4 linked regions of the Lepisosteus oculatus genome follow. The protein of the gene in region 3 binds, or shares a complex with, the protein of the main gene of each other region. Links are inferred from orthologs where the notes say so. Each region holds a gene or a part of one and is shown on either strand. Other genes may lie near its edges.

Region 1 (7,995 bases), on a different chromosome or scaffold from region 3:
CAGCTGCTGTCATTCCTCCCAAATGTCCGTCAGCAACTTTATATCAATGGATCATCACACACAGAAAGAGGCACACAGGCCTCTATATCCCACTGGAGCGCTCAGCTGCAGCCGGCTGGCATGAGTGAGCGTTCAGTAAACTCAGAGGAGGCATCACTGCCACGCCAGTGCAGTTCGACACACAGGACCTACTAACTCAGACGGCGAGCCGCTGCATTTCTGATACGGGGGGGGGGCTTCATGACCACTGCTGTATATGACCTGCCTCTTTGTGTGCATGGCTCCATGAACCATCGCCTCTCCTCTTCAGTTGAGGGGGGCTGGGAAGGGATGAGAAGACCATGTGCAACTGCAGACGGGAGGTAGCTCCTATATTTTCAGAAGCAGCACACTCCTCCCCCCTCCCCCCCCCCCTGCCTGTTCAGTAATGGTATGGCCCACCTGCCAAGTTCTCCAGGCTGCCTCATTAGGGAGTGTAGTAACGGAGGCTGGGTTGCTTAGCAACAGCCTTAGCGATGGTTCTAGGCTGGATGGATGGGCAGAGGCTGATGGAAGGAGAGAGAATCAGTCCAACACACACACACACTCAAGCCCACAGACATGCACACGCACAGACATACACAAGTGCACAGATACACAAATGCAAGCACCGATGCACTTACAGACATGGTAACACACAATGACACAGAAACACAAATTCCAATACACCTCTCTCTCAGTCTACACAGCCTCGCGTATACAGAGAGCATAATGTCCAGAGCACAAAAGAGAAGGAAGAGGTATCACAGAGCAGCCTTCCAGAAATATGCAGGATTCCTTCTCTGCAGGGGGCGCTATAATCGATTTCCAATTCACCCCATCCCACCTCACCCGTTTCCAAAGCTGTGGCCCTTCGATAAAGGGTCAGACAGCCTTGTCAACCACTGCTCCTCACCCTGCCCCCTACAGGAAAGACAGAGAACAACCCATTGTGTGCACTCTGTGAGACATCTGCCTCCCGTCACACTGACACAGACACACACTGACACAGAGAGGTGCACACACACTGACTCACAGACACACACTGACACAGAGAGGTGCACACACACTGACTCACAGACACACACTGACGCAGACACACACTGACACTGATATCCACACTAACACAGTGACATGGGTATCAACACACACTGACACAGAGACCAACACAGACACAGAGACACACACACTCACACGCAGATACATGCATACACTCACAAATAGATACACACACACACTGACACAGGGACAAACACTCACACACAGATACATGCATACACTGACAAGTATGACAAATAAATACACACTGACACAGATATATACATGATCACAGTGACACAGACTGACATGGACACTGTACATGTACACAAAGATTCAAACACACACTGATACACAGATACCATGCATACACACACATAGATGCATGCACACACACTGACACACATTCACACACACACACTGACACACTGATACCATGCACACACACACAGATTCACAGACACTGACACACTGATACCATGCACACATACACAGATTCACACACACACTGACACCATGCACACACAGAATTCACACACACTGACACACAGATACTGTACATGCACACACACTGCCGATCACTGGACCCTCAGTTGGAGCAGGAGGGACCCAGAGACACGATCTGCCCCAGCCCGTCAGGGATACTGATGCCCCGGAGCGAGAAAGCAGCCGGTCAGGCCGGGCCGGAGGCGAGGGGCACTCCAGCACAGCGTCGCCTTTTTAATCGGTGATGAAATAGCGGCGTATTTACGGGACTGCAGGACTGGGACACCCTGGCAGAAAATAATACACACCCACCCGAAAATAACCACCTGCCCAATTGCTCTCCTTATAATGAGCGCGATCCGGACACAGTCGGACTTTCCAATCCAGCCGGACGCCCACTCGTGAGCAGCAACTGACAGGTCTGCCCACGGAGACCGCGGCAGCACCCGTATCGATCCGCGAGTGACTGCGCTCCTCTCGTCATCTCGCTGCCCGGCGCCCGGCGTCTCTTACCTGATCCGCGCCCGTGCCTCTCTCCCTCTCTCACACACAGGGGGCCTTTCCCGGGACCGTCCACCCCAGGACAAGAGTGACCGATTCCCCCCCTCCTTCTCCTCCTCCCCGTCTCCTCTGGAGCGGGACCGGAAAAAAAAAACACCCACCGCGTCACCTGCCTCCGGCGCCGCAGGGGTTAAGTGTTCGCGGCTCCCCCTCTGCTCCACACCGCCCCCCTCTTCCCTTTTCCTCCTTGTCCGCCTCCTCTCGGAGTCTGCCAGGACACGCCCACCACGACCGCATTGTTCCAGACTGACAGGGGGAATTGTCCAATCAGAGGCAGAGATGACCACTGAGGGGACGGAATGCGGCTATCGACGTAGAATGTGCCAATGAACCACGCGATGATAAACCAAACTTACTCTGAGCCCATCATGGGGCTACAGTCCCAGTACAGGAGAACAGTCCTGTCACAATAGGAGCTACAGTCCCAGTACAGGAGAACAGTCCTGTTACAATAGGGGCTACAGTCCCAGTACAGGAGAACAGTCCTGTTACAATAGGAGCTACAGTCCAGTACAGGATAACAGTCCTGTTACAATAGGAGCTACAGTCCCAATACAGGAGAACAGTCCTGTTACAATAGGAGCTACAGTCCCAGTACAGGAGAACAGTCCCGTTACATAGGGGCTACAGTCCCAGTACAGGAGAACAGTCCCGTTACAATAGGGGCTACAGTCCCAGTACAGGAGAACAGTCCCGTTACAATAGAGGCTACAGTCCCAGTACAGGACAACAGTCCTGTTACAATAGGAGCTACAGTCCCAGTACAGGAGAACAGTCCTGTCACAATAAGGGCTACAGTCCCAGTACAGGAGAACACTCCCATTACAATAGGGGCTACAGTCCCAGTACAGGAGAACAGTCCCGTTACATAGGGGCTACAGTCCCAGTACAGGAGAACAGTCCTGTTACAATAGGGGCTACAGTCCCAGTACAGGAGAACAGTCCTGTTACAATAGGGGCTACAGTCCCAGTACAGGAGAACACTCCCGTTACAATAGGAGCTACAGTCCCAGTACAGGAGAACAGTCCCGTTACAATAGGAGCTACAGTCCCAGTACAGGAGAACAGTCCCGTTACAATAGGGGCTACAGTCCCAGTACAGGAGAACAGTCCTGTTACAATAGGAGCTACAGTCCCAGTGCAGGAGAACAGTCCCGTTACAATATGAGCTACAGTCCCAGTACAAGAGAACAGTCCTGTTACAATAGGAGCTACAGTCCCAGTACAGGAGAACAGTCCTGTTACAATAGAGGCTACAGTCCCAGTACAGGAGAACACTCCCGTTACAATAGGAGCTACAGTCCCAGTACAGGAGAACAGTCCTGTTACAATAGGAGCTACAGTCCCAGTACAGGAGAACAGTCCCGTTACAATAGGAGCTACAGTCCCAGTACAGGAGAACAGTCCTGTTACAATAGGAGCTACAGTCCCAGTGCAGGAGAACAGTCCCGTTACAATATGAGCTACAGTCCCAGTACAAGAGAACAGTCCTGTTACAATAGGAGCTACAGTCCCAGTACAGGAGAACAGTCCTGTTACAATAGAGGCTACAGTCCCAATACAGGAGGACAGTCCTGTTACAATAGGAGCTACAGTCCCAGTGCAGGAGAACAGTCCTGTTACAATAGGAGCTACAGTCCCAGTACAGGAGAACAGTCCTGTTACAATAGGAGCTACAGTCCCAGTACAGGAAAACAGTCCTGTCACAATAAGGGCTACAGTCCCAGTGCAGTAGAACAGTCCTGTTACAATAGGGGCTACAGTCCCAGTACAGGAGAACAGTCCTGTTACAATAGGAGCTACAGTCCCAGTACAGGAGAACAGTCCCGTTACAATAGGAGCTACAGTCCCAGTACAGGAGAACAGTCCCGTTACAATAGGGGCTACAGTCCCAGTACAGGAGAACAGTCCTGTTACAATAGGAGCTACAGTCCCAGTGCAGGAGAACAGTCCCGTTACAATATGAGCTACAGTCCCAGTACAAGAGAACAGTCCTGTTACAATAGGAGCTACAGTCCCAGTACAGGAGAACAGTCCTGTTACAATAGAGACTACAGTCCCAATACAGGAGGACAGTCCTGTTACAATAGGAGCTACAGTCCCAGTACAGGAGAACAGTCCTGTTACAATAGGAGCTACAGTCCCAGTGCAGGAGGACAGTCCTGTTACAATAGGAGCTACAGTCCCAGTGCAGGAGAACAGTCCTGTTACAATAGGAGCTACAGTCCCAGTACAGGAGAACAGTCCTGTTACAATAGGAGCTACAGTCCCAGTGCAGTAGAACAGTCCTGTTACAATAGGGGCTACAGTCCCAGTACAGGAGAACAGTCCTGTTACAATAGGAGCTACAGTCCCAGTGCAGTAGAACAGTCCTGTTACAATAGGGGCTACAGTCCCAGTACAGGAGAACAGTCCTGTTATAATACGGGCAAATTGAAGTCGGGGGAAATTAATTCTTCTCGTTGCCTTGGAGACCAGAACCTTTAAGGTACAGCCTGTCCGCCCACCCATTTCTTCTTGCCACCCAATGGCGTGCGTCCACACGGCGCTGTGATTGGTGGGCTGAGGAAGAACAACAGCGGGAGAAAGAGCGAGTGTGCTCGTGCGTGAGGGGGGGGCGCGAGCCTCAGCCGTCCAGCTTCGCCTTATTCTGCACAGTTGTCATCCACAGACCCCCGTCCCCAAATCCTTCCTGTACAGACAGATCTTTGTAATTTCACCCGACAGTTACGCATTAGGGATATCTGATCAAATCCGAGCTGTCCTGACCTCCTGTCTCTTTTTTTCAGGTTTCTGTTTAATTGATGTGACAGCTCGTTTTGTGGGGGGGTGGGTCTAGGCGCCGGTATGAGCGGCGGAGTGTACGGAGGAGGTAAGGAGCGACCGTTTCGTCTGCGCGCAAAAACCCGTTTCCGAGACGGGTGACACCTGAGGACCGAGGCTGGGAGATAAACCCCCCCCCCCCCCCGTGAGCGAGACAGGGGGTGTGGGAGAGAGCGAGCGGGCGGACGCGAGCTTCGCCGCGTCCATGTCGTGCGACACTTGGCGTGTATCGCGACACCGGAATGCAGACTCGAGAGGCTGAGCAGCAGGATGATATACTGCTGAACGCGTCTGCCTCCGTGCCCGTGTTTACATCCGTGTCCGCATCGGTGTCTGTGGTCCAGAGCGGTGCTCGCGGCTGCCTGCGCCTTCACCCGTACCCGTGCCCACGGCCGTGTCTTTGTTCCACTGCCTGTCCACTGTGTCCGTGTGCGTGGCGCTGCTGTCAGCGGGGTCTCCGCCAGTGGCGGGGTCTGTGTCGCCGGGTCCGGGGGCGAGCGGGGCAGCGTGCGGCGACACAGGGGGACCCGCGAGGGGATGGGGACCCGCGTGGGTGACCTCCCATCGCAGGAAAAGCCACGGTTCCGTGGGGTCAAGTCCATCCCGACACGCGCGTGTGGGGAAACGGTGTCGGGATTGGGGAATGTCGGCCGCAGATGCGTTAAAGGAACGGAGTCTCTTCAGTGGTCTGCAGCGCTGTAGGGGACTATGAGGTGGGGCTGTTCAGGAATTCAACTGTCAGTTGCTGACAGCCTGAACCCAGAACATTGTTCTATGTCAGGAACACGACGGCACAACCGGATGTGTAATAATAATTAATAATTGCTTACACTTATATAGCGCTTTTCTGGACACTCCACTCAAAGCGCTTTACAGGTAATGGGGACTCCCCTCCACCACCACCAATGTGCAGCCCCACCAGGATGTGTAGACAAGCCTGAGAACAGGGAGCACATCCTTACACAAAGGCTGGTGAGGGTGTGGAACAGCAGCCCCAGCGCTGTTGTTGTTGTTGTTGAAGGAGATTCCCTGGAATCCCTCCAAATCATCCGGATGACTTGGGGAAAGAATGGCTATTGAGCAACCCAACTCCCGCTGTCCCTTGCCCAGCCTGTGACTGTTGCTCCAGTCATGTCCAACTGGGCTAAACTGCAGAGGACCAGTGACGAGTGGGAACACTCACCCAGCAGGCTGGGGTCCCCGGGTTCAGGTTCAGGCAGGATCGTCTGGAGCTGAGCATGGGGCTGATTCCTGTCAGGGTTCAGGGTTCGAGGACCACTTGGTCCCAGCGAGACAGAGAGCTCAGCAGCCACACCTCCTTACCTGCAGCTGAGAGAGGGGTGTCTCTCTCTCCCTCTGCCTGTCTCACTCTCTCTCCCTGTCTCCAGGTGAGCCCCTGTCTCTCTCTCCCTCTGCCTGTCTCTCCCTCTCCCTGTCTCCAGGTGTGCCCCTGTCTCACTCCCTCTCTGCCCGTCTCTCCCTCTCCCTGTCTCCAGGAGTGCCCCTGTCTCACTCCCTCTCCCTGTCTCTCCCTCCCCAGATGAGGTCGGGGCTCTGGTGTTTGACATCGGCTCGTTCTCCACCAGGGCGGGCTACGCTGGCGAGGACTGCCCGAAGGTACCGCGCGGCTCCTGCCCGCTCACCCCTCTCTCCGCCCTGGCCATTCCTGCCCGGAGGATAAGCTGAACACTTGCTGGTTTTCCAGTGCCAGTCAGCCCCTTCCAGCACGCAGTGAAAAACCGCCCCCCCCCCGAGCAGTGCATCGTGATCCGTGTAGAACTGGGACTATGAGAAAAGTGGTTCACAAGAGTGCACGCCAGGGGGCACCTCAGGGCTGGGCTCTGTCTGGACGCTGTTACAGCCCCGCACGGCGGGCCCTGGCGTGAGCCTGACTTGTCCACGTCGCCAGCAGGGCGTTCCCCATGGCCTCTTGCCATGTGAGGTCCCAGCCCCACTGCGCTGCAGTGGTCAAGCTGCCTCGCTGGCCCTCCTCCAGCAGCACTGCCGTTCACCTCGTACCCACTGTCCCCTTCACCCCCTCCCCCTCTCTGTCTCTCGCGCTGGCCTCACCTCACCCCCCCCTCCCTCTCTCCTTCTGCCCAGGCGGATTTCCCCACCTCCCTGGGAGTGCTGGCCCAGGAGGAAGGGGGCGCGGAGCTGGGGGCGGACAAGGAGAAGTCGTCAGGACGCACGTTCTACATCGACACCAACGCCTTGCACGTGGCCCGCCCCGGGGTGGAGCTGGTGTCCCCGCTGAAGAACGGCATGAGTGCGTGATGCCGCCTGCCCACGACCCCACTGCAGCTTCATCAATAGGAGCCATGTACCTTCGAACCACAGGGGGGCTCCCCCTAGTGGCCAGCCGGGGAAAACACTCTTTCCGAGTGTCGCTCCTGCAGTCTGCACTGATGTGTCCTACTCAATATATAATATCATTACATATTAATATACAATTAATATATAAAATATTAATTATATATCAATACATAATCATACTAATATGCTTTGAACTGAAAATGATACATACGTATACTTATCTATACTGAAAATTATATGTACAGATACTGATAATACTGGTACTGATCTATATATACTGAAACTATGTCGAGATTTGAAATATGATAGTAATACACATGGAGACTAGTATGTACAGAAACTGGTACACACCGAAATTGACATGATCAGGTACTGGTAATACACTGAAGCTGATATGTACGGATACTGAGACACTGCAGTACTGATCCAGGCCTGCTCCTACAGCGGTCACGCTAATGACGCCGGCGCTGTCGATGCTGTTTGTTTGCAGTTGAGGACTGGGAGAGCTTCCAGGCCATCCTGGACCACACGTACTGCAAGCACGTCAAGTCAGAACCCAGCCTGCACCCCGTGCTCATGTCAGAGGCTCCTGTGAGTACTCGCTCCTCAGGCCCTCAGCCGCACAGCGCCGCTCGTACCGCCAAAACTGCCCTCGCTGCCCCGGGGAATACCGCTCCTCATTCTCATTCTGGTCGCGTCTGGCGCCACTGGCGCTACCAGGAACGCAGCTGCTTCCGAGAGGACTAGGGCCGA
Region 2 (7,764 bases), on a different chromosome or scaffold from region 3:
GGTCACATGGCCATATCCATGAATGCTACCTTTATTATGTCCTTTCACGTCTGTAAGAATGGATGAAAAAATATAGAAAAAGACACCGAGATGATCAAAATAAACCATCAACCCTTCTGTTCATGCCATGGCAGCAGTAGTTTGAAGAGGGTCTCTGGAAGCTATAGACCAGTCCATCAGGTGAGGGTTTATCCAGTCACAGAAGCTTTCATATCAGACCCCAACCAATGTCTAAACCCTAATCACAAATTACCATTTTTCTTTCTATTCTGTTCTAAGACTGGGAGGGGAAAAAACATGCTTCACGTACAGCTCTGACTTAAAGTTTTGATCACTTTAGTTACCTCAAAAGCTATGCAAAACCTCAGGCATTTCATGTGCTTGGATATTTACATAGCCTTTAAAAGCAGGTTATTTTCCTGGTACAGACCCCAGCTCACCCGGGGATAAATGCCTGAACACTGACCTCCTGGAGCAAGAGCTATCAGATCATCGCATCAACTCTTGACACAGCTCAGAGCGAAAAGAAAATTACCTCTAGAGGGAGATGTGTTAAAACAGGTTCCACCGAAACAAGTGAAATACATTTTCCTTCCATCCATCCACCCATTTGCTAACCACTTCAGCCAATTCAGGGCTGCAGGGACAGAGTCTACAGTATCCTAACAAGCAACAGGCAAGGGGTACACTCTGAATGGAACCTACCAGTCGGTCTTTGGACCGTGGGAGGAAAACAGAGCACCCAGCCAAAACTCATGGCAACGAGGGGAGAACATACAAACTACATGCCAATAGCACCCCAAGTCTGGAACTGAACCCAGGGCCCCATCACTGTGAGGCAGCAAATCTCACCACTGCCCTACTGTGTCACCCTTGAGATGTTTTGAGGAACAGTTCCTCTCAGTGATGGCAAAAAGTGCTGGAAGTTAGGAATGGCCTTCCAGGTGGATGCTGCATTGGTGGTGGTGGAGGGTAGTCCCCATTACCTGTAGAGTGCTTTGAGTGGAGTGTCCAGAAAAGCACTATATAAGTGTAAGCAATTATTATTATTATTCTGAACTCAATCTTGAGGCCTGCCTCTCTATGTGCTTATTGAAAAGACAATGTGTGCATGTTGGTAACTGCAGCATGCAAGAGCTTATGATAGTGACCTGCAGTGTAAGGGATGGAGCAGGGCTCAGTGTGCAGTTACAGGGTTCAGGGGTTGTCTGGGGCGCAGGGGAGTTACTCACAGTGTGTGGGGTGTGTGCGGAGCTGGGCCGACGCTGCCTCCTCTCTCCCCGATCTCCTCACTCTCGCTCTCCCCTCCAGAGCTGCTGCTCGCCGTGGCGTCCGAGTCCAGGGCGCTCTCCACCGTCCTGAGGGCTGCCGTGCAGCTCTGCGCAAACCGGGCCACCTCGCCGGTGCCGGGCGCGAGGGCGCCGTGCTTGAGAGGCGCCCCTCCTCCCCCCCTCCTGCCTCGCGCCACGGTCCCCGCCAGGCCGCGCAGCTGCTGGGCCACGTGCCTCTCCAGCTGCTTCCCCTGCACCGCCTGCAGCCGCCTCCACAGCCTCTCCGTCCGCTCCTCCAACCGCCCCTGCCTCCGCCCGGCCTCCTCGGCCCCCGCCTCCACTGCCCTGAGGCTGGGGGCCTCCGGGGGCCGTCTTCCCCCCCGGAGGGCCCGAGCTAGTGCCGCCACTGGCACCCAAGTCACCCTGCTCACGCCGTTTGAGGTGAAACCCAAACTCACACCGTTCTGCGGCGCAGGGCCCCCCTTGGCTGCCCACATCTCCTTGCCATCATTTCTTCCATGTCCAGAGATGCCGTCCGCTCCCCCACTAACTGGCCGGCAGGGCTGGGCAAGGCAGCTGCTCGCTGACCGGCAGGACTGCCGCCCAGGCTGGCTCTCCTGGGGCCCAGGGTGTAAAACGCTGCTTATCCCTGGAGCAGAAGCACAGGCGGGCCGGAGCGCTGGGCAGAAACTGCTCCCGTTCTGTGGGCCCCGGCAACCATTCGCATTACTGCTGCCCTTGCCCGCGCTGTTACACCCGGCTGTGGCCGTCAGGAAGGAGCGCACCCTATACAGTCTCACCCTGCCTTTGGCACTTCTGGGCTCCTGTCCATTGCTGCTATCAATATAATTAACACAGCTGTCTTTTGCCGCACTAGAGTATGGGAATACGCCAATCCTGTTCGATGTAACGGGGCTTTCAAAACCACTCGAAACACCACACCTGCTCCCACGCTTGGAGATGTGTACCGTGGCAGAGCGAGCCCAGCTGGCGGGCTTGGGGATCTCCGAGTGGCTTTTAAAATGCCTCGAACCGGCCAGGCTGGTCTTGAACTCTATGGGCGGAGAGCAGAACGAGGGATCTTCCAACTCCGAGCAGCCGGCTCCAGAGCCCGAGATGATGCCGCAGTGTGCTGATGGTATCTCCCCCGTGAAACAGACCCTCTTCGGCGCTCTGCTCAGGCTACTTCCAGGACGCTTCGTGACTGCAGCGGCCAAATTTATTGCACGATTCCGGGTGCCTGAGACTTTGCTTACCCGGTTCTCCGTCTTGGATCCGTTGCTGTATCTCCTTTTGCAGGCGGCAGCTTGCAGCCCCCTGCCCTCCGCGCATTCTGTCCTCCCCGATGCAACAGCCATAACAAGGCTCCGTCCGCCCCCATTTTCTCCAGGCTCGGAGCCACTGGTTTTGTAATCAATATTAATGCTGCTCGCACCCTTCAGCAGATCTCCGTTTCCATTGGCAAGACTGAGGCATTCCTCTCCGCATTCTCCAGTCTCAGCACTCCGGTCGCGCTTTCCCCCGCTGCTGTCACTGGCATTGTCCAGAAGCACGACCTTATTTTTACTGCTGGCGTCCACATTATTGCGGATTTTATCTTCATGATTCCAATCGCTATACATTTGGGCCCGGGCGCTGCCGGCCTCTCCCTCGCAGCACGGAGCTGGAGTTGCGGCAGCGGCGGTAGGAGCAAGCACACAAGCTCCGTCGCTGTCGGCGAGCTCACCGCTGCCTCCTCCCCCGCTTCCCCACTCGCCGCTGGGCAGGGTCCCCTCTGCCCCGCCTCCCCCACACGCTTCACTGCCGCTCATTTTAGGCCAGGTAAAATAAAAATACATCGCCGTATCTGGTCGTTGGCATGGCCAGGACTGGTAGGACAGTCAAGGCTCCCGCCGCCCTGCCTCCGTGTCCCGCAGAGACTGGAGCTGTCCTACCCGTCACTCCCACTGCCTCTCTGCGTTTTGTGCTGTACATGGTATGAGGTCTGTCAGCTCACTGACGACCAGCGCGCAGGCGCCTGTCACTACTCTGCAATCGGGGAATATGCCGTTACCTTTAAAGCTGCAAGATGAATATTGCCTTGTTACAATAGTACGATACAATAAAAGCACTTCTGAGTTTATCGTAATTGATTTTGCAAGTATTGTTGTAAACCTTCAAGATTTCTTCAAGATTCTAAACAAGAGGTACAGAAGAGCTCATAAAGAACTTTATATTTTAGTAGCCTACTATCCATTTTTGTAGGCTTATTACAAAATATTATCAGGTAATTAATGTTGTGAAGATATGTTTGTTTGGGTTTGCTTTGGAATAGCTACAAAGGGCGGTGTTTTTTTAACATCTTTCATAGTTTCCATCCTGATATATCATATCTTCTTTTTCTTACATTTGCATGGCTGTCAACCGTAATACTCAGTGCAATATACTCAACTAATACCCCGACACGCCCAAAGAGGGCTCCACAGCCGAAACGTTGTTTCCTTTCCTCTTTTCAGCATGGAATAAACTTTTAACTTGTTTCTTTGCAGCCTACGCATGCTGTCGCAGCTACCTACTTAAACTACTCAACAAATATCCTGTTATACAGGCTGAATTGCGAGATGACGGAGAATGCTATTTAACCCAGATTGCTATATTGAGATATTTTAGGAACAAGTAATAGGTTTATTCCATGCTGGAAAAAATAAGAAAGGGAACACAACGTTTCGGCCGTGGAGCCTTCTTCAAGTGTGAAATATCTCTAAAATACCTCAATTTTTAGAGATATTTTAGAGCATTGTATTACAGACATGTCCCTAAAATGAGTGTGAACTACATTTCCCATTAGCCTTCACTCCTCCCGCGAGGGAGTACCTTCCCAAGGAAGCCCCTGCGAAGCAGGTTGGCGGCTGCGCAGTTCGGTTCTAGGCCTTGAATTGGGAGCTAGGCGGTTGGCTGGGGAGGAAGCGAGGCGAGTAGCACAAAACAATGGCGACAGCAGCAATTGCAGCTGGGGGAGCGGGCTCCGGGGGCCCGGCGGCCGGGCAAGGGGGCAGCGGTGCTTCGACTCTCTCGGTGGGCAGAAAGAAAGATGGGGGCCCGTCTGCTAAGTACTGGGAGAGCTCGGAGACGGTCTCTCAGCTGGAGTCGGTCCGGCTATGGATCGGAAAGCACTACAAGAAGGTAAAGCTCTTCCACCTCCATTGATTCGGCGGCTACATCCGTGCGCCTTGCTCGACAGAGAGGCGCCTTTTGTACGGGCAGTGAAATCGCGGAGGGAGTAATAATGCTCTTGATTCGTTTGGTTTACTTAAGATGGCCCCATTGCAAGGGAAATCGGTTCATTTTTTAAACCGATTTGCGTTCTATCCAGCAAGCCGCTAAACGCAAGCATCGAGGCTGTTGGTCAGTTGTTTTGATGGTGAGGGATGTTGTGTGGGTGACGGTGAATTCAAGTTTTTTAAGTAATTCTTTCTATAATGGAGTGGATTTTTGTACGAAAGGTGGGCAGATAACCGTGATTAAGGGTGGCGCGTTAATGGATCGAAGTATTGGTGTTAATTTTGTGTTTTTCTGAAGTTGGTCGCTGGTCAGCAGGCAAAGGAAGTGGATTTGCCTGGCAATGTTGAAGCCTCTAGGGGAGATATTACGGTCTCACCCAAAAAGACACGGCAAAACACATTTCCGTGGAAAGCGCTGTGAAACTAAAGGTGTGTTTAGGTTAATGTTGATGTACAGCTTTGGTCGAGGGCCAGCAGTTACGGAAAACAAAACCCTAGGCCACACGCATGTGACAGCTGACTTCGTTTCCAAAGTCAGCCCACGGAGAAAAAAGAAAAGGGCCCCGGGTTCGGTGGTGTCGGCGTGCCGGCCGCGGGCGAGGTGGAGGCGGCCGCAGGTGGTGCTGCTCCTCGCAGTTGTGTGACTCCGGGATGCTGCCGCTGTCCAGACACAGCCCGCAGGCTCGAACAAAGAGTCCCGTGTGGATTGTCTGCACGGCAGCTGCGTCTCCTGCCTCCTCAAGCAGAGAAAACGCTTTGTTTCGAGAGCCCCACCGCCTTGGCCGGCATTGCTGGATACACGATATCGTAATCGAAATGCGAGTGTGTGTGTGTGGGGGGGGGGGGGGGACGTGTGATTTTGTAGGTTGTATGTGTGGTATCACAATTTGTACAGATGGCCGACTGGTATTTTTAACGGAGCTACGAAGCAAGGGGGCGGAGATGAGCCCAGATCTCGTGTTGCTGAGCGGTAGTTGCAATTCGACTCCAAAAGCTGCTCTTGATGCATTTTGATCGATTTGGAGTTGAAGGAGATACGTACGTCCCCCCTGCAGATTTACGTGGGAAGGTTACCAACTTGAAACATCCAGGTTTTGACTGGATGCATAAGAGTGCAACCCGTAAAACCCGAATCGGATTAAACTGCAGAGAAGTGGGAGTTTATTTCTCCTATCTATGCTAAAGCAGTGCGTGTCTGAAAGAGCTTCCGGGCGCTGTAGTTTGACAGATGTTTGCTTGTGGCTGTGTCAGTAACGTTTCCTATGCTTAAAGAACTGAAAGGTGGATAGTGGATCAGCTGATATTAAATGATTTGAAGAGTTTTGTATTGCTTGGTTGTTGGATTGCGCTAACCTTTATCTTAGTTCACATGGCTTTTGGGTATTGTTTCTGGTGGCTGTGTTTCTTCTCGCAACAATCCAGACTGAACCTTTATAGACATGTCCGATTACCGTTTTCATTAATAAGTTGAACTGTTTCATCCAGAGGAACTCGTGGATGACTCTGTAGGTACTCCAGAATAGATACGTCTGCGTCTCGCCCAGTGGCCGCACTGCAAATATCCTCCAATGCAAAAGGTCACAGTGTGTGGTCAGTCATATTTTGTAAGAACAATGAGAGAATAAGGGTTTGTCTGAGTGCTGCTGGAGTTCCTGTGGCTCAGTCTGGCCTTGCCAGGGATGTTTAATCATCCATCCAGTTTCTAACTCCTTCGTCCCGTTCAGGATAGCAGGGGAGCCAGAGCCTGTCTTGGCAAGCAGCAAGCAAGAGACAGGATACACCCCGGATGGGGTGCCACTCCATTGCAGGGCAAGCAGGCACAAACACAGATACACACACTCGCACCTAGGGCCAGCTAACCCGCCAGTATGTTTTTGGACTGTGGGAGGAAGCCGGAGCACCTGGAAGAAAGCTGTGCGAACGGGGGAGAACATACAAACTCCACACAGATAGCAATTTCTAGGATTAAGGATGGATTATAGGATGTGATTTACCATTGATCAGTGAGATTCACACCATCCGCTGTTGCACTAAAGTCCAATCCATCATTCAGGATCCCAACCATACTGGCCACAGACTGTTCTCTGGGAAGTGGTACTGCACTATTAAAACACAGACCTCTAGATTTAAGAACAGCTTCTATCCTGCTGCACTACGCATCCTCAACAGCTAACTGCAATGCCTCAGACTCAATACACATCTGCACTATGCACTTTTTGCATAGTCTACCATGTTTTGTTTTTCTCTCACTACTACATAGTTATTGTCCCACAACATATTTATTGTTCCTGTTATTATGTTTGTAATGTACTGTGTACATTTTGTGGTGTTGTCTGTAGTGCTGTGTATGTCCCGAGAGATCAACGCGTATAAGAATTCCAATGCACGTGTTCGTATGTCAGTACATCCCTCTACTACTGCTCCTCCACTCCTCTTTAGAATTGAAGCAATGCTAATCACTGCAGCACCGTGCAATCCATGTTTATAATGATAAAGTCTTAATCTAACACTAAAGTGTCTTCCATCTAAAGTGGATATTTATCACATTATGTGTGTCTTTTGTGAGATTAGGCACATGAGAGACGTTCCATACGAAAGGAGGTCATTTTCCTTATCTGGCCCGTTTGCTTGCTGGTACTTAAGTGATATGAAAAAACTCATACATCTGTTTCTTAAAAGACACAATGCTGGCTTCCATAACAGAGCTGGGCAACTTATTCCAGATATCCACAACCCACGTGTAGAGAACTGCTTCCTGTTCTAAATTTTGAATTTCTACTTGAGTACCATGGTTCATTTCCACATGTTTAAAGTTACTGATTTTTTTTTAATTGGCAGGAATAATCATATTTATATTCATTATATAGCAGAAGTAATGAATGGTTGGGATTTGTAGTGCTTTGGTAATATTTTTCTGTTCCTAGGTGGTAAATTTAGACTTGGGTGTGTTCTGCGAAAATGTCAAAGAAGCTCATAGTTATGTTTGAAATGGGAGAATGGAATTGGATACTGTATGTTTTGTAATGATCAGTTTCACAAACCCTTTAATGGCAGTTTGCTGTAGTTTGTATGCCACAGGGCTTCAATGTTTGTTTTGGTTAGTTGATGCTATTGTGCGAGGGTACAGACTGGTAGTTTGATTACACTCTTGTAATGTCGGTGTGAATCCAGTGATGTGTTACAGCACTGGGAAGTATTGTCAGTGCCAGAATGCCCTGCAAGTGCACTACAGT
Region 3 (8,416 bases):
GTAGCGAAGATCATGGGCTGGACAGGCTACAGACACTGACAGCTCATATAATCTGCTGCAAGAAGAACAGTTGTAAACATTATTAATAACCTCCACAGAAATGTATGGAAATCGACAGGCCAGCCACCTCCATTTTGGTCATTTCCAGCTTGGCACTTTTCTTTTCAATCCACCAGGCCACTAAACTGCAGACTCGAAGCATCTTTCAGAGCCCAGGGATCTCCACCTGTGATGTGAAGCTTTCCGACCAAGCAACGAGACAAAATAAATTAATGAAAACATGACCCCACACTAAAGTCACAGCAGTGTGACATGGACAACTGGAATTCAATTTCATAACATCACACACTACAATTTACATCTTAGTAAAAAATGGACATCTATCCACTTCTATAAATAATCTAATCAGTTGTGCTATGCAATTAGAACCCTAAATTCAAATTCTCGATGAGAGGATTTATTTAATCTTTATAATGTGCAATCAATCTAAGACCCTTTATCAATTATCTAAAGCCACAACAATCTCAAAATTAATTTTCACTCCCTGAAAAAGAACAACCTCTGAGCTATACTGTAATTGTTAATAAAATTAAAATGAACAATTCTGATAACTTTTTATAAAGTTAGGAGGCTTTAAAAAAAAGCATTAAAAGCATTAAAGTATAGCATCCAGATGGTAGAAACTATGTGGGGGGGAAATTCCACTAAGTAAACTATTAATTTATCCTAATAATAATATATGAATGAATGGTTTACTTGGTGAATACACCCAAGAAATACAGAATTACTTGGATTAAAAAAACTGAAAAAGTTCTAGTTCTAATAATTGAAACTGCTCAAAAGCTTATATAATGAGATGTGGATGTTATCACTAATACGGATTAGAGAAAATGGACATTAAGGTTTTAAAATTATTTCCCCGTCCAGTCAAACAGATCCATTTCACACTCCATCATAACCAAAAATGACCTGTGACTATTAAAATTATTGATCAAACTATCAACAAGATGCGCCCTTACACAAATACAACCATAAACACTGAACAAAGCTGGAAGATTTTTTTTTATTAATGACATATACTAAGTAAGACACTGGGGGGAAAATGTAACATATTAAACTGACCATTATCAATGACAAATTGACCTTTTACAAGCATCACAGAAGATAGTTCTGGGATCAAGAGAGGCAGCATGCCTGAAAGTAAGCAATGTGTGTTGTTAAGATGTTTCTGTTATCTTCAGAGTGTAAAAGTATATGAGCTAATCAGGGATTGTTGTAGCATTACATCAGATGCAATTATAAATGGCCAAGAGCAGAGGATGGAGAGCCAATCAGATCTCAGCTAGCATGTCAACCTAAGACCAACTGTCTCCTGGCTTTGACAGAAGGATTTTACCTCCATAATTCAAATCCCAAAGCAAAGCAATCTGCACTTACTCAAATCACTGGCCATTGTTTACTAGCAGCCTAAGGAAAGAAGAGCCCCGATCTGGGAATGCAGGGACAGAATTAAAACGCCATTCTCCGAGAGGAATAGGAGGTCAATGTAAAAACTCAGCAAATATAGTGTTAAAAAAAACTTCCAGCTCCAACTAGACGTTTATAAAGCCAGCACTGTTTTAGTATTTTCTGGAATGTTACATGCATTTTACAAGGATCAGGAAATCTTACTGCCATGCTGGGAATTTTCCCCACTATTAAATCCAAATATGCAAATGTAATTAATACAAACGTGCGGATCTATTAGTTGCTATAACCCCCGGACACACCAATGTTGCTAACGAGCGGCTACAGGGGAAACAGAAAAAAAAACCACCCCTGAAAGAGACAGAAAGCCCTGAGAATTACACATTTTAATTACCTTTTAAGCCGTCCTGCCCTGCAGATAAACAACACGCGAAACAAAAAAACGCCTTTCGCTGTCATTTTACCTCTTTAAAAGTCGCCTCTCCTTTTAGCCCGACCGCCCAAACTTCGACTTTTCACCGCCGGGCTCGGAAAGACGACGATTCGGCTCGACCAGCCGCTTGTTTTTACTAGATAAACGCTGTTAGAGGAGGTGGTGTGGAGAAAAAGCTGAGAGGCAGCCATTTTAGAGAGTCTGAGAGAGAGAGAGACAATGGCAGGTCCATTGCACTAGGTCCTAGTCTACACCATTACAGAGGGCTGCGAGTGTAAAACACAGCCAAGCACCGCGGGCTCCGAGGCGAATGAAACTTTACCTGATTTCTGCTTAGTGGTTGCCCAGTACTTCCCGGGCTCATAGGCGGCGGATGATGGGTCCTTTGTTGCCAACCCTGGTGGCCACCATACTGACTGCTGCTGCCCACGTCTACTGGTCCCTTGTTAGCTCCTTCCTGGTTACTGTAGTCGCTAGGGGGGTAGTTCTGGTAGCCCCTCGTCGAGCTGGGAGAGGTCAGGAGCTGGTTTAGGGTTGGGGTGGAAGTCGGCTGCGGGTTTCCCATAGTATACCTCTGATTATTGTAAGTGACAGCCATAGCTGTAGTTCCTCCCGCTGGCGGCGGCGGCTGCTGCTGCTGCTTGGCTGGCTGCCCCCCAGCCGCCGGAGGCTGGTTGTTTCGCGGGGAATTCATAGTGTACCCTTGGCCGGGGTAGGCAGTCCGATTGGGGAATGGGCTGTAGTTGTTAAACTGGTGGTTGGGGAAGCCGTGGTCGTGCGAGTTGGGCTGATAGGAGTCCATCATGCTGCCTGGCTGCACGGCCGGCCCCGCCGCAGCTGCCATGCCAGGGCTTTGTTGTCCGCCATGTTGATGAAAAGGGCCCCGGCCGTAGTGCGGGCTGTAACCGTAGGGTGGTGGAGGAAAAGCGGCGGGGTGGTGGTGTGCCATCCCGGGGTGGTTATTCCCTTCGGGAGCTCCTGAATCATTCTGGTTATTATTATTGTTCACCCTGGACGGATTCCCGTTCCCGTTCTTCATCTCCGGATCCCCTCCTCCCCCTGCATTTCCACCATCGGCCCCGTCCTGTAGCTCCTTCTGACCCGGGGATCCACTCTCCGATCCCGGTTCCTTATTTTCCTGCTGCTTCTCCCCCGGTACCGGCTCCTCCTGTGGGTCCCGATCCGCTTTTTTCAGTTCGGACGGCGGGCTGGTGTTGAGAGTGGCGACGCTGGCGACCTGAGCGGCCATGATATTCCTCTCTCTCTCTCTCTTTCACAGCGAGTCAGTCACAATCAAACACTCAATAGCATTGAATATAAATACAATTATTTATAACAATTTACCCGTGTCCCGGCTCATTCCCCCCTAACACCGGACCGAATCCGGGCTCCACTCCCGGCTCCGATGCGAATTAAAAGTTATTGAAAAAAAATAAATAAAAATCCCGGGAATGAAATTAACCGACACGGAATGTGGGGGGGCTTCTGTTAGAGAACGAGACTGAGAGCGAGAAACTGATCAAACCAGCACGAGGCTCCGCGAGACACAGCCATTTTACTGAGGCGCGCAGAGAGACGCAAAACCCGGACTGGAGTCCCGAGACGGGGTGGAGCGGGACTGAGACTGGAACTCGACCGGGGTGTTTTGAAATCACAACAGCAATAACATTTATCGCAAAGTGGATGGTAGAGGGGGTGGCGGTGCAGAAAATAAGGGAAACGCAGACGTCGGCTTTAAAAGGTGCCGTATCCTGAGAGGCCCCTCATGCTTTAATTGGGCCAGTTCAAAAGAAAACATGAATATTATTTTTTAAATCCCATTTTCCTCTTCAGGAAAGGGGTTGTGTGCATTGGAAAAAACACAGTCAAGATAGAAATCAAACAAGTTCACGTGTGTCAGGGTGTGTGTTTGGTGCTGGGTGGGGGAGAAGTGTTATATATTTGTTTAAAAAAACAGAACGGGTACTGTAAAAGAAACTATCACTGCGGGCACAATGGGAAGCCTATTTAAAACAACGCATACCGAATGGACGCGAACCAGGATATGGTTACACTTTATCTTGCGCCCGTGTGAAGACAGGGGGTGTGTGGATGTTAAATGTCCTGCTCCTGTGCGCTCAAAAGCAGGAGTGAACTAGTTGCCGTGGACGGTTCTGTGTAAATCTTCCGCGCACTGCGAGCATGTGAAAAGTGCGACTGTGTGCACAGAAACACCCGATCTCCTCACAGAGGCGGCATGGAATTACAGCGAGAGAGCGAGGGAGGAGGGGTGAGCTGTGGACTGAACCAGTCACAGAGCAGGAAGTGATACAGAAGGCAGGGGTGGGGGGGGGAGAGATCCGCCGCAGTAGCAGCTACAGTCCAGAATACTATTTCTTAAGAAAACAATGCATAATATTCCGACTGTGGCTTGGCTGCGCAGCAAAAGGAGAAGGGAAAAAAAAAACTAAATAAATAAGCCTCCGGCTCTCTTAGCGTCCCGGCGCATTTAAAGAGATCGAGCCGCCATCCCCGATCCGCGCACACACACACACTCACACCCTCTCGCTCTCCCCACCCCCTCCCCGCGCTCGCGGCCTGTCTCTCCGGCGCAGACGCGCGCACACAACTTCGCCTCTCCAGCGCGGGGGGATGGGCGCGCGGGCGCCACAGCGCCTTCCTCGCGCGGGGGCCTGACCTCGTCCGGCGTGCGGAGGAAGGGGTTCCCCTCGGCCCTCTGGCGGGGAGGGGGGATAAAACCAGTGGCTTATTATTTGCGTTTGGCGGGGGTAAAAGAAGAGGTATAACCCCAAACCCTGCCTAGTCAGGACGCAGGGGGGAGGAGGTTTGGGGGAAACTCATCCCAACGTCCCCAACTCTCTCTTCCCCCTCTAAACTCGTGTCTCAATGACCTGTTTTTCTTTTCCACCCTTTTTTCTCTCTGCACCCGGGTTTGTTCGCTTAAATCCCTCTGCATCCCTTTTATGTGTCGGCTGTCTTCCACGGATGACGACGACAGAGGAGGCCATGGAGGAGGGAGGGTGTTTCGACGTCGATTTTGCCCAACGCTTTCCTCCCCCCGGCCTGTTCCGTCCCTGGTCCCTACCCCGCCTCCCTCGCTTGCCACGCGTTCGCGCCGACTTCCCCGCCGTCCCCCGCGAGCGCGCTGCGGACCCTCACCGGGCCGGGACGCGGCACTGCGGACCCTCAGCGGGCCGGGCCGCGGCACTGCGGACCCTCAGCGGGCCGGGCCGGGGCACTGCGGACCCTCAGCGGGCCGGGCCGCGGCACTGCGGACCCTCAGCGGGCCGGGACGTGGCACTGCGGACCCTCACCGGGCCGGGACGCGGCACTGCGGACCCTCAGCGGGCCGGGACGCGGCACTGCGGACCCTCAGCGGGCCGGGCCTGCAAGCCCGACAGGTTGTGGCTCAGCGCGAGGTGCACATCTGCTCTGCGGACCAACTTGTTGAGGGCCGAACTGCCGGCAGCAGCGAAGGTGTGTTGTGCCTCTTCGCGCTCGGGGGGCCTGGGGGAATGAGGGCGGCTCCGATGCCCGTTGGCCTCGTTTTACCACAAAAAGCCGCGCGGGCCGGCAACGTTTTTCACCCCACCAGCCCCCTCAGCTAGCTCACCCTTCCGACTTGACTCGCCCCCCCCCCCGCAAACTTCCAGACGCCGTGACGTGTCGGAAATCAAAACGCCGGACAAAAGAGATGGTTTTTACATGGTGTTCCTTGAAAGTTTTGACATATTTTCCTCACAAAAGGACCGAACGTCCGTTGTCTTCGGCTGGGGCTAGGCCGTGACGCCGGGGGAGGTTTTGACAGCGCGCCGCCTCTGTGACTCCTCTCCTCTGGCCTCCGAAAGCCAACTGCTTCCCCAGACAAGAAAAAAAAGAAGGTGTTCCCTTGTTTTAATTTTGGATCCAACTTTCGCGTGAGCAACGGTCGCACGAGCTGACAGAAACCCCTGTCCTGCAGAGAATAAGCTTCCCGGACTTTGAAGGGTCTTGCGCTCTTCTAGAAGAAGAAAGGAGAGTGAGGCAAACCAGGCATCCAGTTGGCCAGGTGGAGAAATAGAGAGGAACTTAATTCGTTCTTGGTGTTAAAATCAGGGACATAACTGACAGCCCAAACTGCAGGACAATTTTCATCACGTTGGCATTCAAGTTAAATACGTCCATTAAGGATTTTTTTTAAAGCCACAGTAAGACAAAACAACATCTAACGATCGTTCACCACTTTGTCTGTTTAGGTGCCTTTGCAGAAATTATTCTCTACAAAAGAAAGGAGACCGTTCTGCAGGATAAGCAGAGGACAGCACAATTCCCCTTTGCATGACATCACACTGCGCTCAGATCACACTTAAGTGGTTAACCCAGCCCCAGTTACTCACACTGTTCACATTAATAGCAAAGGTAGAATCCCTAAGGCCTTCCACCTCGTGTGTCTCAGCAATCCCACCGGGATAGAGCACATGGCACTGTGAAGGAATCCGCAGGATTGTGCCCCAGGAAAATTGAATGTTCCAAGCCTATAAATAAATTGGATTTGAAGAATATATAATATTAAGAACATACAGTATATAATCTACCAAAAAATATGATAAGCCTGTATTTGCACAGGACATCAAGGATAAGAAACCTGGCAAGAGGCCTTCTGAATTGCTTCTGTAATGGTTCTTGGTGTTTCCGCCCTTGCCACTCCTGCCCTGCCAGTTCGTCCCTCACCGCCTGGGCACGAACCCAGGTCTCCGGCGTCATGCAACAGGGAACTTGACGGCTGAGCTAAAGGAGAGCTCCCTCAGCCCGGGTGGCTGAGATCCCTGTTATACGCAGGGGCATATTCGTTACACTTGGACGAAGGAAAAAAAAAAACACACACACAGCATTGTAACTCTTTCATGAAGGGTACACCACACCATACAACAACATGCATGAAAACCATACAGCAAACTGAAATTTCACATAACTTGACAGGACTGCTGCCACCGACCTGCCCCTGCAGAAAGTTCCTGTCAGCTCTCCAGTCCTTCATATCCACCTGACTTCTCCCTAGAAGTCCAGAGCTCTGATCTTGGCTTTCTGCTGAAACTGCGTCTCGTTACGAACCGGTACAAAATAATGATGGGCCCATAATGGAATTTGCACCAGTGGTGGTAAAGGATAATGCGTGTTGTTTTATCGTATGGTGCAGTGCTTGTGAAGGATGGTGTTTTTTTTCACCATCGTATGGGAAAAGCATTGCCAAATTTGCCAGAAAGATCAATAACCTAAAACTGAGAACTAACATCAAAGAGCGTGGGTTTGGTACAAACGCTGTACATGACATTTTTCCATGCTCAGGCCTATATCCACTCTCCAGGTCCCTGGACTTGACACTTAGCAGCGAGCTCCTCAGGTATGACTGGTCATCGGTTACGTGCTGTAGGCTGCCCTTCTCCCTACCGTTTCCTGCTAGGTTAGGAAACTCAATCCGTCTTCCCACAATAATGATTAAAACATGCTGACCGAACAGCCTCTGATCTTGCCCCCCGAGAAAATGACGAATGTATCACATTCAGGCCTCCACTGGTACAGGGCTTCTCTAACGCAGCACTCCTGAAACTTTGCCAAGGAACAGAGGCCAAAAGCATGCCTGTCTCGAACATGACACCCACCATCACCCAGCTGTAATACAAACCTGATACCAGCTGTACTCAAACATTGGCCCAACAGTGACTGAAGCAAGGCCTGGTCGTGATGGGGAGGGATGCAGACTCTTTCTGTCCCACGGTCACAGCTCCCTAACCCTGAAAGAAAACAGACTGTGTTTCATACCGCTGACAGAGCAGAGCCTGCTGGCCTTACTCACAATGGACATTCACTGCATAAATAAGGGGAAAATTCTGCAATCACACAAAGATTACCAGAACCCTTAATTACACCAATGAAACAAAAAAAAACACTAACATCTCTTTCACTCTGAACTGAAGAAAATAAAAGCAACAGCACAATAGTGGAAAAAAGTTTATTGATGATGGATCATTATTTTTGAACTCTGTGTTGTGTTTTTTTTCCCATTGGACTAAGTCTGGGAAAGGAGCCATTTAATTACTAAGACAGCCAGATAATGTGGAATGGAATTTCCTCACGAAAGTGGAATAGGGACTGGTGATATACGGACGCACACACCCACAGCATGTAAACACACACACACACACTTTGGGCCTCGTCCAGCTTGTTGCTTGAGAGGCGACGCACACTCTGAAGTGTGATTAGGAAGGAAGTGGCACTCGAGGGACTGGTCATTCCCAGACACACTCAAAGCATGGAGCACCGCCACACAGCCTCACCTGGAGCAGATAATCGAGCTCTTCACATCCGCAATCTGCAATTAACAGATCGACACCACGGACAGATCGCGTGCACAGATCGGATAACCACACAAAATGATAAGGGGCAACAGTTATCATCAAACCTCAGAATTCTGTGCTGAATTAGTGCCTTGCATTGTTTTTTTAAACAACAACTTTGCAAAAACATCCCCTCAAAACT
Region 4 (7,834 bases), on a different chromosome or scaffold from region 3:
ACTGTAAACATAGAAGAATATGATAAAAACATCACTCCACTAACAGTTATTATGACTCTTAATAAAACCTGAGTTCTAGATTTTGCATTGTTGGGGATAATGTCAGGGATATCACAGGCTGACTTGGTTATTGAAATCCTGACTTTGTATTTCCCAAGACATTTAGGATAGTTAGTCTTCATGTGGTTGGCAGAGATGGCAATGATGATGTACAGAACAGAGAAGAGATTTTATTTTGGTTTGGTTTGGTTTTTTGGTTTTTTTAACTTTCGTCTTTTCTTTGATTTGCTTAATTTAACGAAGATAAAAGTTATGAATACAGGGGTCTGGATTCAAAAGTTTCATCTTTGAAGTTCACAAGGTCAACTGAATGTACATGGTGCCACACACAAGATGACCAACTCGTAATATTTGTAACTATGTGGCAGGCTGCCACTATCACACCCACTGGAGGGGCCACAGCTGCATGTTCCACAGTTGCAAAGTGGAAGTTTAAATAGACAAGGTGATTGAAGTTTATTAGTGAGTGATCGGGTGCGCATGGGAATGCAACGATGTCTGCGTGCCTCCGTGCTGTTTGTGACACGCAGTCCCACTATTGACCCTGTCACACTTTAAAATAAACAACTTGTGTGTCAATGTAGACAAAGCAAAATATGGATAGCTCAACTATGAATAGCATGCGTAGGCTGCAAAGGAATAGGTAAAGGTTTATTCTGTGCTGAAAGGAAAAGGAATGCTGTAACCTGAAGAGGGCTCCACAGGCAAAACTTTGTCTATTCTTTTATAGCACAATGAAAAGACAAGAAGCAGCGATGTGATCTGTCTTTCCTTACCATCGAGTCGCACAAGCGTTTTCCAAACATATAGATTCAGTGAAAGGTGAGAAAGAAGAACGGGGCATCAATGCCGTTAGTGGTTCACCTGACTTCACTCATTTTAGTGCACAGGTCCTATTTACTCATGCATACTGGCTGAAAGCATGCCATGGAGAAAGCTGAAGGAAAGGCACTGACCTTCCTTGCCCTTAGTGACGTGTCATTTATGTAACCATTTCTAAACAAGCAATTTAGCTAACCACGCCGAACTAGCAAACTGATCCCCAACCATACTGAAAATAGTTAACATTATATCCCAAAAAAGCTTTTCTCAAACTCAAAACAGGTTTTTCCAGAGAAGCAGCGGGTGACATTGATTAGAAGGCTAATGCCTGAGTTAAACGACCTACATCGGCAAAAAACTAACCTGATCTTTTCAGAGTGACTGGTATTGCCAAGGCTCAGCATCAATGAGATAGAACACAAATTGAGAATGGCACAGAGACGACTAATCATCTCCCGTGTGATTTACATGTGGTGTTTCAGATTACGCATTACAACCTGAAACAGTGGGATGGCAAGATCCTGACAAGGGTCTCCAGGTTTGTCACTTGGATGTCAAAAGCATCCACTTACTTTCTCCTCAATGAAACCAATGTACCTGCCAAAATCTGCTGAACCAGGGCAATGGATATTGGTTTCTGTCAATTTCACATAGGAGAATATAAATAAGAAAATAATTGGAGATTCCAAAATAAAAAAGTAAAAGTTACACACCATGTGTCATACTGACTACTTATTCTTGCAAAAATAGCATCTGAAGAGACTTCTCAAACTACAGTGTCAGGGAATATGCACAGAGGCGGCTGATTAGTGTCACACGAAGCTGAGAACTCTATGAGGTGGTCTATATCTAGGGTAAGCCTAACATGCTGTACCTCCTCTCCTCATTTTCTCTTTCAGGTGTTACCCTGTTTGTAATGAAATATTTATGACAGCACAGAACAATCTAAGAAGAACAAACAAAGAACTGCATCAGAAACCAATAGCAAGTTGTAGACATACACCTCTAATTTCTAATTTGTCTCTAAATTCTTCTAACCAGACAGCCAGACGGTTTGTATTTCATTTGCTTCTATTGCAGCAGAACAGATTTGTTATTCAGGAGACATCTGAGTGTAAGAAACTCAGAGTTTCTCTAAATCTTTTTGGCTCCAGGGATGCCCTGCTCTTCAGGTCCAGCATGGTGGAAACCAACGTTTATTTTTGCAAGACTTTGTTTATCATAATTAATTAAGACAAGCACCAAGGTGGCCCACAAATAAAGTCAATGTGTGCTCAACATTGTTTGCTGGGCTTGCTGGATGAGTGTTTGCACTAAGCAGGTTCCTCTTACTGTAGCAAAAGAGTTTTCATCTTGTACAAAATCTGTCAGGCAATCTGGAACATACTAGGCATGTTTTCTTAGAAGACACGGCTCCTGAATCCTGACACAGTATGCATACAGTAGCACACTACAGCATATTGTATACTGACCTTCTCCCACGCAGTTTATTATTTTTTCTCTTAAAAACAAACAAAAAGACAATATGCCAGACTGCCAGATCTTAAGAGCTGACGTCCATTTGTTCCAGCATTCCACTTGTATTGTTCCTAAACTTTCCTACTCTTTACAAAGCACAAGGCTTTTGTGCCCACTTTTGTTGCTCTGATAAGCCTCTCAAGGCAATAAACCTTCCTCTGCACTTCCCAGACTGAACCATTAAGGGGGCTTGAACTGGTCTCATCTAAACTGGTTAAAAGGTTGAGGGGGGCTCCCCAGTTGTCCAGGTGTGCTGCGTGCAGCAGCAGAACTCAAGTTGTGGAGGCCAGTCGCAGTAGGCACTCCACATGCTCTTCTGGAAGCGACCAAGGAGCAGCGTCTCTTTCTCTTTTTAATGACTACAAAACCCACCTCCCCTGCTTCCCCACAGCTCCCTCCCTCCCCTCTCTTCTTTAAAAAGAAACGGTACGCGACTCAAGGCTGGAAATAACCTTCACACGGCTTTCCCAGCTATCTCACGCATGCAGACTGCCAAGCTTTGCACACACAGAGCAACCCAGCTCTTACCCCAGCCAGCCAGCACCTACTCACCACACCGTGGACGAGGAACTCAAACAGTTTGCTTTTCGTAGCTTTGCGGGCTCCCCCGGCAGTCTCCTCTGTAGCCATTTGGTAGCCCCCTTTTTCTTTTGTTTTCCTCCTTATTCTTGCTCTCTTTCTTTCCCTTCCAACTCAACCCCCCCTACTTCACTTTCTTCCTTTTTATTCCTGCCTTTCAGAACACTCTCTCCCACTCCCTCTCTCTCTCTTTCCCCCTCTCTCCCTCTCTTGTTCTCTGTGTTTTAAGTGTGTAGCCAAGCCAAGTCCCTCTCTCTGGCTCTCACACTTTTTAGTTGAGCAGCATTTCAGAAGCCTGTGGAGGGAGGGCGGGGGTCTGACAGGGGGGTTCCGGCAGGCCCACCCTCAGGGCCCCCCACGCAGCTGTTGCATTCCATTGGTAGATAAGGGCATGCTGTGTGACTGGCTGCTGCACTCTGGTGTTTATGCACTGGCTGGAAAAGTTTGCTTTACAGTTACCCATTCCCCTTGCCAATCACTGATGACAAATGTGCAGAGCTACAGCTTGACCAAAGAGAAAGGTTTCATTCTCAAAAAGGAGAAAGAAGGCTTAAAGGGCCCAGCTTTCATTTTGCATCTCGACTTCTCAAACGCTTTTAAAGCTCTTTCCAAATGTTCAGTTTGTGCGTTTTGAAACACAAAGCAAACCAACTTGAGCAGATTGCTTTAAATCAAACATGGAAGTGAAGCTATTTAAAAAAAATTGAAACAAAGAAACAAAACCTTAAGCATGGGTTTCAGCTGCTAGCAAGGGGTGCGCTTTTAACCAAGAAAACTTCATTTAACCTCATTATCACAGGAAACAAAATGTGGACTCTTATTCCCTGTACGGCCATGTCCAAAGAACTTAACATAGAAAGCCAGGTCTTATAAAGCTCTTATGTCCACATAGACAAATCAATCCTGTACAGTTCTCTACATCTCAGTGTCTTATTTTCTAATTAAATTAGAACAGTTCCACTTGTATGCTGCAGGGAAACCCATCTCTAGTTTTCCAGAAGTGTCAGATCTGCTGGGACCTTACAGGAAAAAGGGGAGCCGAAAGAACCACCTGAAACAGAAACTGTTTGGCAGTTTCTGTACTTCAAATGCTCCCCTGCAGAAAGATTCACACCCATGAACCCGATGTGACATCCGAGTCCAGTCTTCAAGACAGCACTGCATTAAGCCCAGAACCATCTGAACGGGACTGGGATTTTCTCGGCACTAGCTCATGACTGGTCAGACTCCAACTGCTGGATGGTCTTGAGCCAATGAAAAGTCAACAGCTGCCGCCTCTGGGACCTGCCCATGAGTTTGCAGTCCTGACAGTCAACCGGTGCCAACTGTCTCTCGAAGCGTTGTGACTCACTGGCTTGGCACATGGCTTACAAGTGAGCATCAGAGGTGACCATCCGCAGTCCTGTGAGGGTGCAGGGTCCATACTGGCAAGCCAATTGAGTAATCAAATGGTGACTTCAAGCTGAGAGGGCAGTAAACTATAGTAAGAACAATATTTAAGAAAAAAGATTTGAGCATACTGTAGGTACAGCTGAGCACAGGTGAGTGTAAGTGAAAGGGAACATTAAAAACATACTACAAAACCATGACAATCAGAAATATTTACTAAGCAGCATTCCGTATGAGCCAGAGTCCAGTACTAGTGCTTAGTTGTTAAAGTGTGGAAATAACAGCGATGCTGAGCCTTTCAGAAAACCCCAAGGGATGTACAGGGGCAAGCAGGTCAGAACAGGATATACTGTAGCATTAATAACTTCATACCTCGAATACAGTTTCAGCGAAACGAGAAGATTGCAACATAGTTGAACTTCACCAGACACTGCTGAATAACAAATTGTTCTTTATACACAGAAAACTGTTCAGAGGCAATGATTTCTTATGGTTAAGAAATCGGTTATTGCAAATTAAGCAATTTAAGTTTATAATGTATCCCTTAACCATTTCAGGTTACATTAATAGCCTAAGGTTTAAGTATAATGTTCATGAAGCCTGCATTCTCTCACACTTATCCCATATATGAGTTGAAACCTAAAAGACCTAATAGACCTAATAAAGGGCACAACACCAACGTCAAAGATCTTAGGAATCATCGCCAGCACAACAGATATACATAAAATTTGTGGATCTACAGAATTTTTTAATTTACATTGAATGGTTGGTTACAATATACTTTAAAGTTATTAGAGTACATTATGACAGATGCTTTTAAATCCCTGCAACAGCCTGACCACAATTACTTCAGTATATGCTATCTTCACTGGCAGTACCTGTTTTCTAACTCATTGTCTATTTCCAATTCTGGGGGAACAGCTGTCAGGACCCATTAACTGTGGCTCGGACTGATGTCTGAGGGATGTCTTACCACTCATTCTGGGGATAATCTCCCCTTGAATAATTTGACAACTGTATTTCCAAGGCTCTACTCACAGACAGTCACTTCCCTGTTTAAACTGTAGTGTCGGAGCCAGGCTCATTTTTTCCTGCATGGTTTCAGAAAACCTCCTATACACTTCCCGCAGCGTAGAACTCTGATTCAGGTTTCGGTTGAGTGAGCTAAAGCCTTTCAGCAAATCTTAAACAGGTAATCTACCCATACTAAAAATGCTTTGTAAGTAAGAGGTTGTTTGACTCTCCTCCTCCCCAAACCCCCAATCTATGGTTTGTCTATATTTCCCACATTTTCTTCCTCCTTGTTCAGCCCCACGATGCCTGACTTCCTGAATACTTTAACATCTGTGATCCGTCTCCCCTTAAACAGTTGTAGTAAGACATTTTACTAGAAAGGCAGCCTCACAGTTATACTGTACAACTCTTCTGTAGATTATTTTCTAACTATACAGAGCCTTTCACTACAATACATTAAACAGCTTGACATCAGGAAATACATTCCTTATCAATAAATTTAATTCACACCAGTGAAGACAGCAGCCTGTTAAAACCACCACAGTTTTATGGAATAATACATTCCTCTGTGACAGGTACTCACTGTCAGTTGATCCCAAGCTATTTTTTCCCACTCAGTTTGTCTGCTGGCTTTACACAGGACTGGCATGAGAGTCTACTGCTCTTTCTTATTGTCTTTCTCCTTATTCTGCAAATAAGACGTAACTGTACACAGGTTCCCTTTACTTCCATATTACTTCATAAGAGAGGCAAGAAAAACAATTTGCAGATGAGAATTGTAATGGGCTATACCAACTGCAGTATGTTATCAAATACATGTTAATTTAATACAGTGATATATGCACACCAGACACTGAGTATTTCATGGAAAATAATATTGAGCTCCTCGTGACAAAAGAGTAGCACAGTGTGTTGGCTGACAGACTGCTACTCAGGGGTACTATACTGTAACTACATACCGTATGTCTGCCAAATGTCCAATCTGGGAAAAGAAAGTTTTCTGTCATGGGATAATTACAACATGGAACATTTCCAGGAATATCCAATTCAAGAAAAGGTTACTATTTTCACATACACACACCAAGACTGAGCACACAGACATTCACATACTGTATACAAACAAAACACACAAGCACAAATGTACACCCCTACCAGAGACACAAAGATGCACACAGATGTATAGAGATGTACACAGACTAAAAAAGAGCACATGATCACAGTCTGCGTCCCCTGTGGACTGCATGTTGAGCCCACAGCTGGCTGGAATGCCTGTGAACACTTCCTCATCTGAAGTCTCTTTGTTTCACAACAGTTGTTCTCACAATGGTCATGCCCAGGCTCCTCAGGAGTCTCGGGGCTGCGGGTGACCCCGTGTCTTGGGAAAGGAACTCGGTAGTGTCGGTTCACTGATAGTTTTCCACGCAAACACTGAGAAACTCCACTCTAGCTTTGAGACTGACAAATCTCCTCAGTCTGTGTAAAAAGAAAACTTCCCCTTGCCGAGCTGTAAGTCTAAGTGAAGTTAATCATAATTCTGAAGACAGGCCCAAGCGACTGTGTTACTTGATGGTCAGAACATAAGAATCACGTCTGATGTCCTCACATCCAACAAATACTTAAGACTACTTTTAATTGGAGCAGATCAATATTCTTTCAGAATCCCACCACACAAACTAATAAAGTGTATTCATTGCCTGACAAATGAAATAATGCATACACAGCAAGAACCATGCAATCGCCTGAAGATCTCCCAGTGACTTAAAAAAGAGCATCCAGTGAGAATAACCGAAGACCCCTGGTGGGTGGAATTAGGAGGTTGTCACTGCAAGTCACCTTGGGACAGGAGGTTCACGTTCTACAGTACCAAGATCTGGCCTCCAGATGGCAGCGATAGTTTGTACCGTATACATTTTTTGGTTTACAAACTCATAACACAAGACAAACTTCACCATAAGTAAAAAAGAAAAACCAGGTGTCACAACTGGCACAGGAAATTCCACTGGGGACCCAGATTACAAATTAAGTACTTGGAAATGACATAATGTGTAACTATATAAAAGCTTTAGTGTGCAAATTAGATCTTTTCTGCACTTCAGAGAGGAGCTGGAGAAATGCTGGTGTGGGTGTGCGAGAGACAAGATCTCCATAAAGTCTCAGAAAAAGGTGATTTTATTCATCTGTTCTCAGCCTTCCATGGTTTTCAAAAGCCTGAAGAGCATCTTGTGACAAAAGCAGTGCTCTTGTTGTTTAAGCACATGAAGGTCTTCTTTCTAGCAACTCAAGAGTGAACTCTCTCTTCCTGTCGTGTGCGCCACAAAACAAAGCCACAGCTCCTGGTCCTCACTACGACAACAAACAGCAGTCATGTTCTTGTATTGTGCAAAGTGACACTGTGCTGTAGGAGCTCCTGTCCTTTGGATGGCATGTAAAACCCAGGTCCTGACTATCTGGT

The links.
Region 1: AT-rich interactive domain-containing protein 1A (region 3) and actl6b share a complex: the UniProt entries of both Homo sapiens proteins name them as parts of the neuron-specific chromatin remodeling complex. The link is inferred for Lepisosteus oculatus from reciprocal best matches to the Homo sapiens genes ARID1A and ACTL6B.
Region 2: AT-rich interactive domain-containing protein 1A (region 3) and smarcc1a share a complex: the UniProt entries of both Homo sapiens proteins name them as parts of the neuron-specific chromatin remodeling complex. The link is inferred for Lepisosteus oculatus from reciprocal best matches to the Homo sapiens genes ARID1A and SMARCC1.
Region 4: AT-rich interactive domain-containing protein 1A (region 3) and smarcd3b share a complex: the UniProt entries of both Homo sapiens proteins name them as parts of the neuron-specific chromatin remodeling complex. The link is inferred for Lepisosteus oculatus from reciprocal best matches to the Homo sapiens genes ARID1A and SMARCD3.

What each region holds. Positions count from the first base shown.
Region 1 is NC_090698.1:10,092,543-10,100,537, forward strand, and holds the start of actl6b (actin-like protein 6B), read left to right. Parts: upstream 1-4,708; 5' UTR 4,709-4,950; coding exon 4,951-4,975; intron 4,976-6,466; coding exon 6,467-6,543; intron 6,544-7,029; coding exon 7,030-7,195; intron 7,196-7,732; coding exon 7,733-7,833; intron 7,834-7,995. UniProt on the Homo sapiens protein: Involved in transcriptional activation and repression of select genes by chromatin remodeling (alteration of DNA-nucleosome topology).
Region 2 is NC_090705.1:20,049,168-20,056,931, reverse strand, and holds the start of smarcc1a (SWI/SNF complex subunit SMARCC1), read left to right. Parts: upstream 1-4,168; 5' UTR 4,169-4,238; coding exon 4,239-4,433; intron 4,434-7,764. Other genes in the region: KAT8 regulatory NSL complex subunit 1, read right to left, coding at 1,233-3,109. UniProt on the Homo sapiens protein: Involved in transcriptional activation and repression of select genes by chromatin remodeling (alteration of DNA-nucleosome topology).
Region 3 is NC_090706.1:7,218,795-7,227,210, forward strand, and holds the start of AT-rich interactive domain-containing protein 1A, read right to left. Parts: upstream 3,477-8,416; 5' UTR 3,150-3,476; coding exon 2,223-3,149; intron 1-2,222. UniProt on the Homo sapiens protein: Involved in transcriptional activation and repression of select genes by chromatin remodeling (alteration of DNA-nucleosome topology).
Region 4 is NC_090701.1:29,339,552-29,347,385, forward strand, and holds the start of smarcd3b (SWI/SNF-related matrix-associated actin-dependent regulator of chromatin subfamily D member 3b), read right to left. Parts: upstream 3,266-7,834; 5' UTR 3,031-3,265; coding exon 2,953-3,030; intron 1-2,952. UniProt on the Homo sapiens protein: Involved in transcriptional activation and repression of select genes by chromatin remodeling (alteration of DNA-nucleosome topology).